Diceros bicornis minor: one gene and its partner. The protein of the gene in region 1 interacts with the protein of each later gene in a pairwise test. Links are inferred from orthologs where the notes say so. Each region holds a gene or a part of one and is shown in the gene's direction. Other genes may lie near its edges.

Region 1 (3,905 bases):
GCCTCTCTGAGCTCCTCTGCCCTCAGCTGCCGACGTGGTCCTGGCTTCCAGGGGCCATGGAAACCGCGGGAAACACGAAGCGGTGGGAGGAGGAGACACCAGAGTCCTCCCACATCGTCTGACTGGGTGACACCCTGAGATGAACCCCTGCTAGAGTGGCCGCGGCCACAGACCAAGCATCGGGGCCGGGCAAGAATGGCAACTGGGAACCTCCGGCCCCTGAGGCGGGATCCCGAGGGCCGGGCTCTCGGTCACGCACCGCGCACTTGAAGAGGCTCCGGAATTGCTACGTTGGGGCGGGTGCATTTGGTTGGAAGGGGACCAGGAGCCGGCCTTGAGGCCGCGTTAGCGTAGCAAGCATCCTGTTTTTACTTAGCTTCGGTTGTTGACTTCGGTTGTGGCTAACGGAGATTTGAGGGGTACTAGGCACCCTCTCAAGCCACGCCTTCAGACCCCAGTTTAGAGGGAAGCCAGAGGCTAAGGACTCAAAAGACCGCCGCAACTCCGTGAGAGCCTCGGCGCGGGCCGCGCCCGCCGGGCGGGGAGACACCGCCTCGCGTCAGGGGCGTGCCCAGCCCTCATGGGGCGGGGCCGCAGGGGCGGCCCGTGCCCGCGGCGCTGGGGAAGCCCCGGCCACTCTCGCGGAGTCGCCCCGGGGGACGGGGCCTGTAGCGATGCCCCGCCCTCCTGCTCCGGCCCCTGCGTGGCGTGGGGGCAATTAGGGGCCGCTCCCGCCGGCTTCGCTGAGGGGACGCCAGCCCCGCCCGGCGGGGCGTGCACGCCCCGAACCGTGAGGTCTCGCGAAGGATTCGGCCTGTTTCCTCATCCGGAAAACGGGGGCCTCGTTATCCCGCCCTGACCGGCGCGGGACAGTCGGTGGGAGGGGTTTTGGTGATCCCACGCTCGCGACCTCGGCTGAAGGGGTCGTCGAGTGACTCGGCGCAGAAATGGCCGAAGGCCTGACGGCGGCAGGGCGCGGGGTTTATTAGCTGAGAACCATTGCTGGCCCGCTGACTGCGGTGCTCAAGGAAAGGGGCCCCCCCTGTAGCCCAGACCCCATCCTCCGAGGCCCCGCCGACGGGGCTCTCGGGCATCTTCCCAGACACTGCTCTGCATGCACCTGGAAGCTTGGGCGTGCCGCCATGGCTTTAAAACCCCCCCACACAAGGAGAATAAGGTCTCATTTGCTTCTTTCACGTAACCGGGTGATGACCGCCTTCCCGAGCCTCAGGCACAGAGCTCCATCCTCTTTAGCGCCCTCCTGGGCCCCGGCACCGGGCGAGCGTTCAAGGTCCACCCGGTTCTCACTGAGCCGACAGCGAAACAATGCCCTGCCCGCGCGCAGGAAGGGTTGGCGGGCACGGGCGGGGTCGGGGCGGCAGAGCGGGCCAGCCCCCGGCCAGGTCGGGGCTCCACCTTCCGGCTCCTAGCGCCCGCCGGCGGGGGACGGCGCCTCTGTCGCGTCTTTGGGGCCTACGTGCGTCGCGACACGGCGCGGGGCGGGCCGCGGCCTGGGACGTCCCCTCGGCTCTCCCGGAACCAGTCTCCACGACTGCCGCACCGACCGGGGCGGAGAAGGCGGGTCCTCCAGAGCCTTCGAGGCGGGGGCTAGAGCGGCCAGGCCACCGAGGCGGGTCGAGCCGGGGCTGGCGACGGCTGCGTCATGCGAAGGGCGGGGCCGCCACGGGCGGAGGCCGGAGCCGGAAGCGGAAGAGGCGCTCGGAGCTGGGAGTGGGGCCTAGCTGCAGCCGGAGCCTGGGAGACGGTGAGTGTGGGCCCGGGCCCGCGAGGGCGGCGGCGGCGGCGGCGGGGTCTGAGTCGTCGGGGCGGGCTCGCTGGGTGCGGTACCCCGGGCTCCTGGTTCGGTCTTGGCCTCCTCTCGTTCCTTCTCGTCGGCTCAGTTCAGGCCGCGGCCCCGACCTCTCACCCCTGACCCGCCACTTCTCCCCCGGAGGGCGGTCACCACAGACCCCGACCTCTCGATCCCGCGGTGTCGGAGTCCGAGTCTGAGGGGCCTCTGAGGTCCCTGCAGGGATCCAGTTTCGGCCCTGCACCTGCCCGAGGAAATGGGGTCGGGGTCCTACGCGGGATAGCCTGGAGGGGCCTTCAGACCCCACCCCCCCAACTCCCCTCGAGGCTTGTTCCGCAGACGACTCCTTCCTGCGCGTCCTGGCGTTTGATTCTGCTCCAGGCTGGCCTTCCTCCTGCCCCCCAGATCTCCCCTTGCTGCCATTGGCGGCGGTTACGGGCCACCGGGCTCTGGGACCTGAGGTGACAGGAAGGGACGCCAGCGAGGGCCGCGGGCTCCCTGCGTGTTTTGTTGTGATGGTGGAGCCGTTCCAGCCCGGGGGAGGGGCCTGGCCAAGCTGACGGTACAAATGCCCCGGCTGCTCTTCGGCCCGAGCGGCCCGGGAGTCTCTGTGCTTTAGTTCCGGGTGTGGGTGCCCTGGTGTGGAGCTGGGTTGGGGATTGCCTGAGCCAGGCCCCCGTCGAGGCGGAGTTGGCGGCCTTCCAGCTTCCCTTCTCCATGCCCTTGAAAAGGAGGAGCGTTTCACCCGGTGGTGGCAGCTTGCAAGGTGGCAGGTTTGAGGTTGCAGTGGTGGGGCAGCGTCAGCCAAAAATAACCATGGGGCGCTGGGGTGGTAGGGATCCGGGAGGGCAGCCGCTGACCTGGCTGGCTGCTCTTCTTGTCAGCCCAGTTCTCTGGCCAGGAACGGCAGATGAGAAGCCAGCTCGGCCTGTGCTCAGAGAAAAGCTGGCATCTTCCGCCTGGTTTCCTTCATATTACCTTTCTCTTCATTGTGCAGAGCAGAGCTCTCTGGAGCATAATTGTGGCCCTTAGCATTTTGAAATAACCCGTTTGCTGTGGTCTCAGAGAATCAGAGATAATTGATGAGAAATGGGCCCTAGGGGCCGGCCCCATGGCGCAAGCAGTTAAGTGCGCGCTCTCCGCTGCGGCGGCCCGGGGTTCGCCGGTTCGGATCCCGGGTGCGCACCCACACACCGCTTGTCAAGCCACGCTATGGCGGCGTCCTATATAAAGTGGAGGAAGATAGGCACGGATGTTAGCCCAGGGCCAGTCTTCCTCAGCGAAAAAAGAGGAGGATTGGCAGATGTTAGCACAGGGCTGATCTCCTCACAAAAAAAAAAAAAAAGAAAAAACAAATGGGCCCTAGAGCCCTGGCTGGGAAGATAATGAGGGGCATGTAGTATTTCCAGTGTTTCACTTGCCTAGAATGTGTTAAAGGAGAGGTTATTTTCTTTGATTGCCTTGTGTGTGGTACTTCATAGCTCTCATACTTGTCATCTCCTTTGCCAAGTTGGCTGGGAGGTGGTGGTGTCTCCATTTTCCAGGTATAGTAACCAAGGCCTAGAGTGACTTGTATAAGGTCAGGAGGCCAGTAAGTGGCAGCACTGGGATTTAGTTTAGGGTTTTCTACTTAGAGCCTGCACCTTCACCCCCCCAACCTTGGAAAGGACTTTGGAATCTTTTTAATGTTGTTAACGAAAAGCTGCCTTCAGTACTTCTTGTGGGCCCAGACCTGTGCTAGGCATTTGACCTGAAGGCATGTGCTAGGCATGTACTTAAAGGAGTAACATAATTTAATCTTCACAGAACCCTGTAAGAAATTACTATTCCCTTGTTGCAAGAGGAAGCTGAAGGTCAGAGTAGTCTAATAACTTGCCTAAAGGCACACAGCGAGAAGTGGCAGTGCCAGGATTCAGATTGACATCTATCTAACTCTGAAGACGTCTTCTCTCCACTAATATCACCATGTGTGGACATAAGATCTTCTAGGTCCCAGGAGGGAGTCTTAGGCCTAGGACTAGACCATGTCCTCCAGCTCTGTCTGTGCAGTCAGGATAGGCAGGGCGTCTGCCCTGGCTACTGGAGCATCTTCCAT
Region 2 (3,905 bases), on another chromosome or scaffold:
ACCCATATTACGGAAGGTAATCTGTTTTACTTAAAGTCTACTGATTTAAATGTTAATCTCTTCTTTAAAAAATACCTTCCAGGGCCAGCCCGGTGGCGCAGCGGTTAAGTGCGTGCGCTCCGCTTCAGCGGCCTGGGGTTCACAGGTTCGGATCCTGGGCACACACAAACGCACCGCTTGTCAAGCCATGCTGTGGTGGTGTCCCGTATAAAGTGGAGGAAGATGGGCATGGATGTTAGCCCAGGGCCAGTCTTCCTCGGCAAAAAGAGGAGGATTGGCATCGGATGTTAGCTCAGGGCTGATCTTCCTCACAAAAAAAAAAAAAAAGTTCCCAGAAAGATCTAGAACAATGAGCAAATTTCCAGGTACCGTGGCCCAGCCAAGTTGACCCACAAAATTAATCATCACAGCAGAGAAGGACCCTTCTTCCCACACCTTAGGGATCTCTGCCGTCTGTATTTCTTATTACCGCTAGACAGAGGCAGCCCCTGGGAGCCCTCTGTGAGTTTCATTTTCATAGCGTTGCACATCTGTCTCCCTCCAGCCTGTGCTCTCCTGGGCCTATTTTCCATCCTTGCTGGGGGGTGGGGGGGTGGGGAAGCACCTGATGAGGCCCTGCAGGTGCCCACACGTGTGCTGAGGAACTGGGCACACAGAAGCTCCCCCGCACTGACCCCTCCGGGACCTATTCGCCCAGTGGCAGAACTGAAACCTGAGTGTAGCTCAGCCCTTGCCTTGCTGCGCGTCCCTGAGCAAGTCACTTCCCTCTCTGGGGCTCTTTCTCCTCGCTGCTCTCATTGACTCTGAGTTTCCAGGCCACTGAGGACAGGGGAAAAGGGAAAGAACCTCCGAGAACAACCTTCGCCCCTTGTAAAATGTTAATTACTTAACAAACACAAAGCATTCGCCCATTCTAAGCGCTCTGCAGGTGTTACGTAATCCTCACATTAATCCTACGAGAGAGGTACCATTGTTATCCCCTATTTAACAGGTGGGGAAATTGAGGCACAAAAAGGGCAGGCAATGTGCTCCAGCACACAGGTCTGGTGTGTATCGAGCCCCCACCATCGGGCTCCAGAGGCTGCGAGTTGACTCAGAAGGCTTCTGGGAACCGCTGAGAGGCTAACCCCAGCTGCGAGGGCAAACTCGAAACCAAGGAGATGGAGAGCTGGGTGAGTTTCGGTTTCCTGGCTCTCGGCACAGGAGTTTCTCTTTCTCTTCTTCCTGCTCAGCCATTAGCTGTCGGCCCAGCAGCCAGCAGGAGCCATGGGCAACTGGGAGTCCCACCTGTACACAGTGCCTGCTCATAAACTGGACGGGCTCATCCGGGACTCGCTGAGGCCCTCTGAAGACTGTCAGAAGCACATCGACAGCACCGTGAACACCCTCTGTGCCGCCCTGCAGGAAGCCGAGCCGCTCTCCCTGGAGAAAAGGGTCGCCAAAGTGAGTCGCGGGCTGGGCTCTGGGTTTCTGGGAGCCGGGAGATCTCACAGCCACTGGAAGGCAGAGAGACTTGGTGCTGAGCAGCTACGGTGTGCCAGGCTCTGAGCACACAAGACATCAGCTCGTGCTCCCCACACTCGAGTGAGCTGATGGGAGATGATGTACAGCTTAGGAGCACGGGCTAGGAGCCGGCTCTGTCTCTTCCTCCTGTGTGACCCAGTGCAGGTTGCTCACCCTCTCTGCGCCTCAGTCTCTGAATCTGTAAAATGGAGGAGGAATAATACCCACCTCGGGTATTCTTAGCACAGATCCTGGTACATAGTTAGTGCTCAATAACTTAGCCGTGATTACTCACTGTTATTGTTTCCCTCTGCCCCATATCACAGAGGAGTAAACTGAGGTTAGGAGACTTCAGTCAAACTACCAGAAGTTGCTCTGTGGTTTCTCAACAGCAAGGAGGCGGGGAGCTCTTATCAGTCAGAAATGTATGGTGCTGTGGCCACAAATCCCAGGACTGAGGCTGACGATTCGGGGTTAGAGATCTGCCCCCCCGCCCCCCACCCCCACCCCACCCGCCCCATGCTCTCCGGCACCAGCTTCCCTCTTCTCGGCAGACATGTGTCTTCTGGCCTCTGCCTTTAGGCACACTCAGGATCTCTAGCAATAAAGACACCTGGACACTTGGTGGCCCCCGCCCTGGCCCAGATGGGGAAACTGAGGCATGAGGAAGTTATTTAATAGCTGTCATCAGAGCTGGAATTTAAACCCAGGCAATCTGCTTGGGAGCATGCGCCCTTAACCACTATGCCATCCTGCCTCTCAATATTGTTAACTTTTTTCTAATTAAAATAAAACATACAAAAAGAAAAGTGCACAGATCTAAGTGTACAGCCTGGTGGATTGCCACACACAACATACATGTGTAACCTGCACCCAGATCAAGAAACAAAACATTCCACCCGCCAGAGTCCCTGGACCCCCATCCGGTCACTACCTCCAACCCCAGGCAACTGATCCTGACTTATAACAGCATAGATTCATTTCATTGGGTTTTTAACCTTTCTAAATGTAGGGTGACCAACCGTCCAGGTTTGTCCGAGACTGAGGGGTTTTCTGGGACATGGGCCCTTCAGTGCTAAAGCTGGGACTGTCCCGGGTAAACCAGACAGGTTGGTCACCCTCTATAAGTGCAATCATGCACTGTGTGGTTTCTGTGACCATCCTGTTTATGAAATCTATGTTGTTGTGTGTAGGTGGTGTTTATCATTGTGTTGTTGTATGTGTCTCCACTGTGTGGGTACACCACGTTTGTCCATTCTATTGTTGATGGCCATCTGAGTTGCCTCCAGTTTGGAGCCAGTATGGAAAGTGCTGCTATGGGCATCCCGATTCAGGTCTACGGGTGGACGAATGGACGCCTGGTCACTCAATTTTAAGAAATGGTGACATTTTGGACTTTTGCTTGAGTTGAGAAATACTACTGCCTGCTGGGGTGCCCTGTGACCCCAAAGGACCCAGAGTCTCACATCTTTTTCTCTATCGCTGGCAGGGTGGCTCCTATGGCCGGAAAACGGTCTTAAGAGGCAACTCCGATGGTACGCTCGTCATCTTCGTCAGTAACCTTGAAAAATTCCAGGATCAGACGAAAAGCCAACAGGAAATCTTCAAGAAAATCTGGGAGTGTCTGAGAGCCTGTCAGGTCACAGGCCTGGAAGCCAAGGTGCAGATCCAGAGGCCCAACAGTGGGCTCACCATCCATGTGTCCTCAGGATGGCAAAGCATCACTTTTGAGGTGCTGCCTGCCTTCAATGCGCTGGGTGAGCCCACCTGGGTGTATGGGTGTGGGTTCAGATCTGGAAGGGTTTGTTGAGAGAGCAAAGCCAAAGAAAGGGGTGGCAGACAGCCATGTGGGTCCTCTAGGCTGGGGATGGGATAGATACCACTGGTGCTTTCCAAAGTGGGGGACCATAGACCTTCAAGAGAGGAAGTCTCTCCTACCTGGGCTTACTCTCTTCTCTAGAACTTTTCTGTCATCTCTTAATTGACTTTGGCGAAAATGTTCTAGATTCTAGACTCTAGAGAAGAGCTTCTCAAACTGTGACATGCCCACAAATCACCAGAGAACCTTATTAAAATGCAAGTTCTGATTCAGGAGATCAGGGGCAGGGCCTGGGATTCTGTATGTCTAACCTGCCGTGATGCTACTGCTGCTCTGTGGACCACACTTGGGGATTTAGACTAGAATAAACATTGGTTAGAGGAAGAGGATGGGGCAAACATCTGGGAAAAGTTCAGCTGGGGCAGGCATTTGGAGTCTGCCTTCTGACCAGGTCAACATCAAGGCAAGGACCATCCATGGGCAACTGGTTGGATGAATGGATGGATGCGATTGTTGGATGAATGGATGGATAGTTGGATGGATGCATGGATGGATGGATGGATGGATGGATGGATGGATGGAT

What was found.
Region 2: the proteins of CLK3 (region 1) and OAS2 interact in binary tests that used the Homo sapiens proteins (3 or more experiments, as listed by UniProt). The two-hybrid records come from large-scale screens. The link is inferred for Diceros bicornis minor from reciprocal best matches to the Homo sapiens genes CLK3 and OAS2.

What each region holds. Positions count from the first base shown.
Region 1 is NC_080744.1:67,566,058-67,569,962, forward strand, and holds the start of CLK3 (dual specificity protein kinase CLK3), read left to right. Parts: upstream 1-1,663; coding exon 1,664-1,765; intron 1,766-3,905. UniProt on the Homo sapiens protein: Dual specificity kinase acting on both serine/threonine and tyrosine-containing substrates. Phosphorylates serine- and arginine-rich (SR) proteins of the spliceosomal complex.
Region 2 is NC_080774.1:11,025,891-11,029,795, forward strand, and holds the start of OAS2 (2'-5'-oligoadenylate synthase 2), read left to right. Parts: upstream 1-1,233; 5' UTR 1,234-1,266; coding exon 1,267-1,443; intron 1,444-2,992; coding exon 2,993-3,260; intron 3,261-3,905.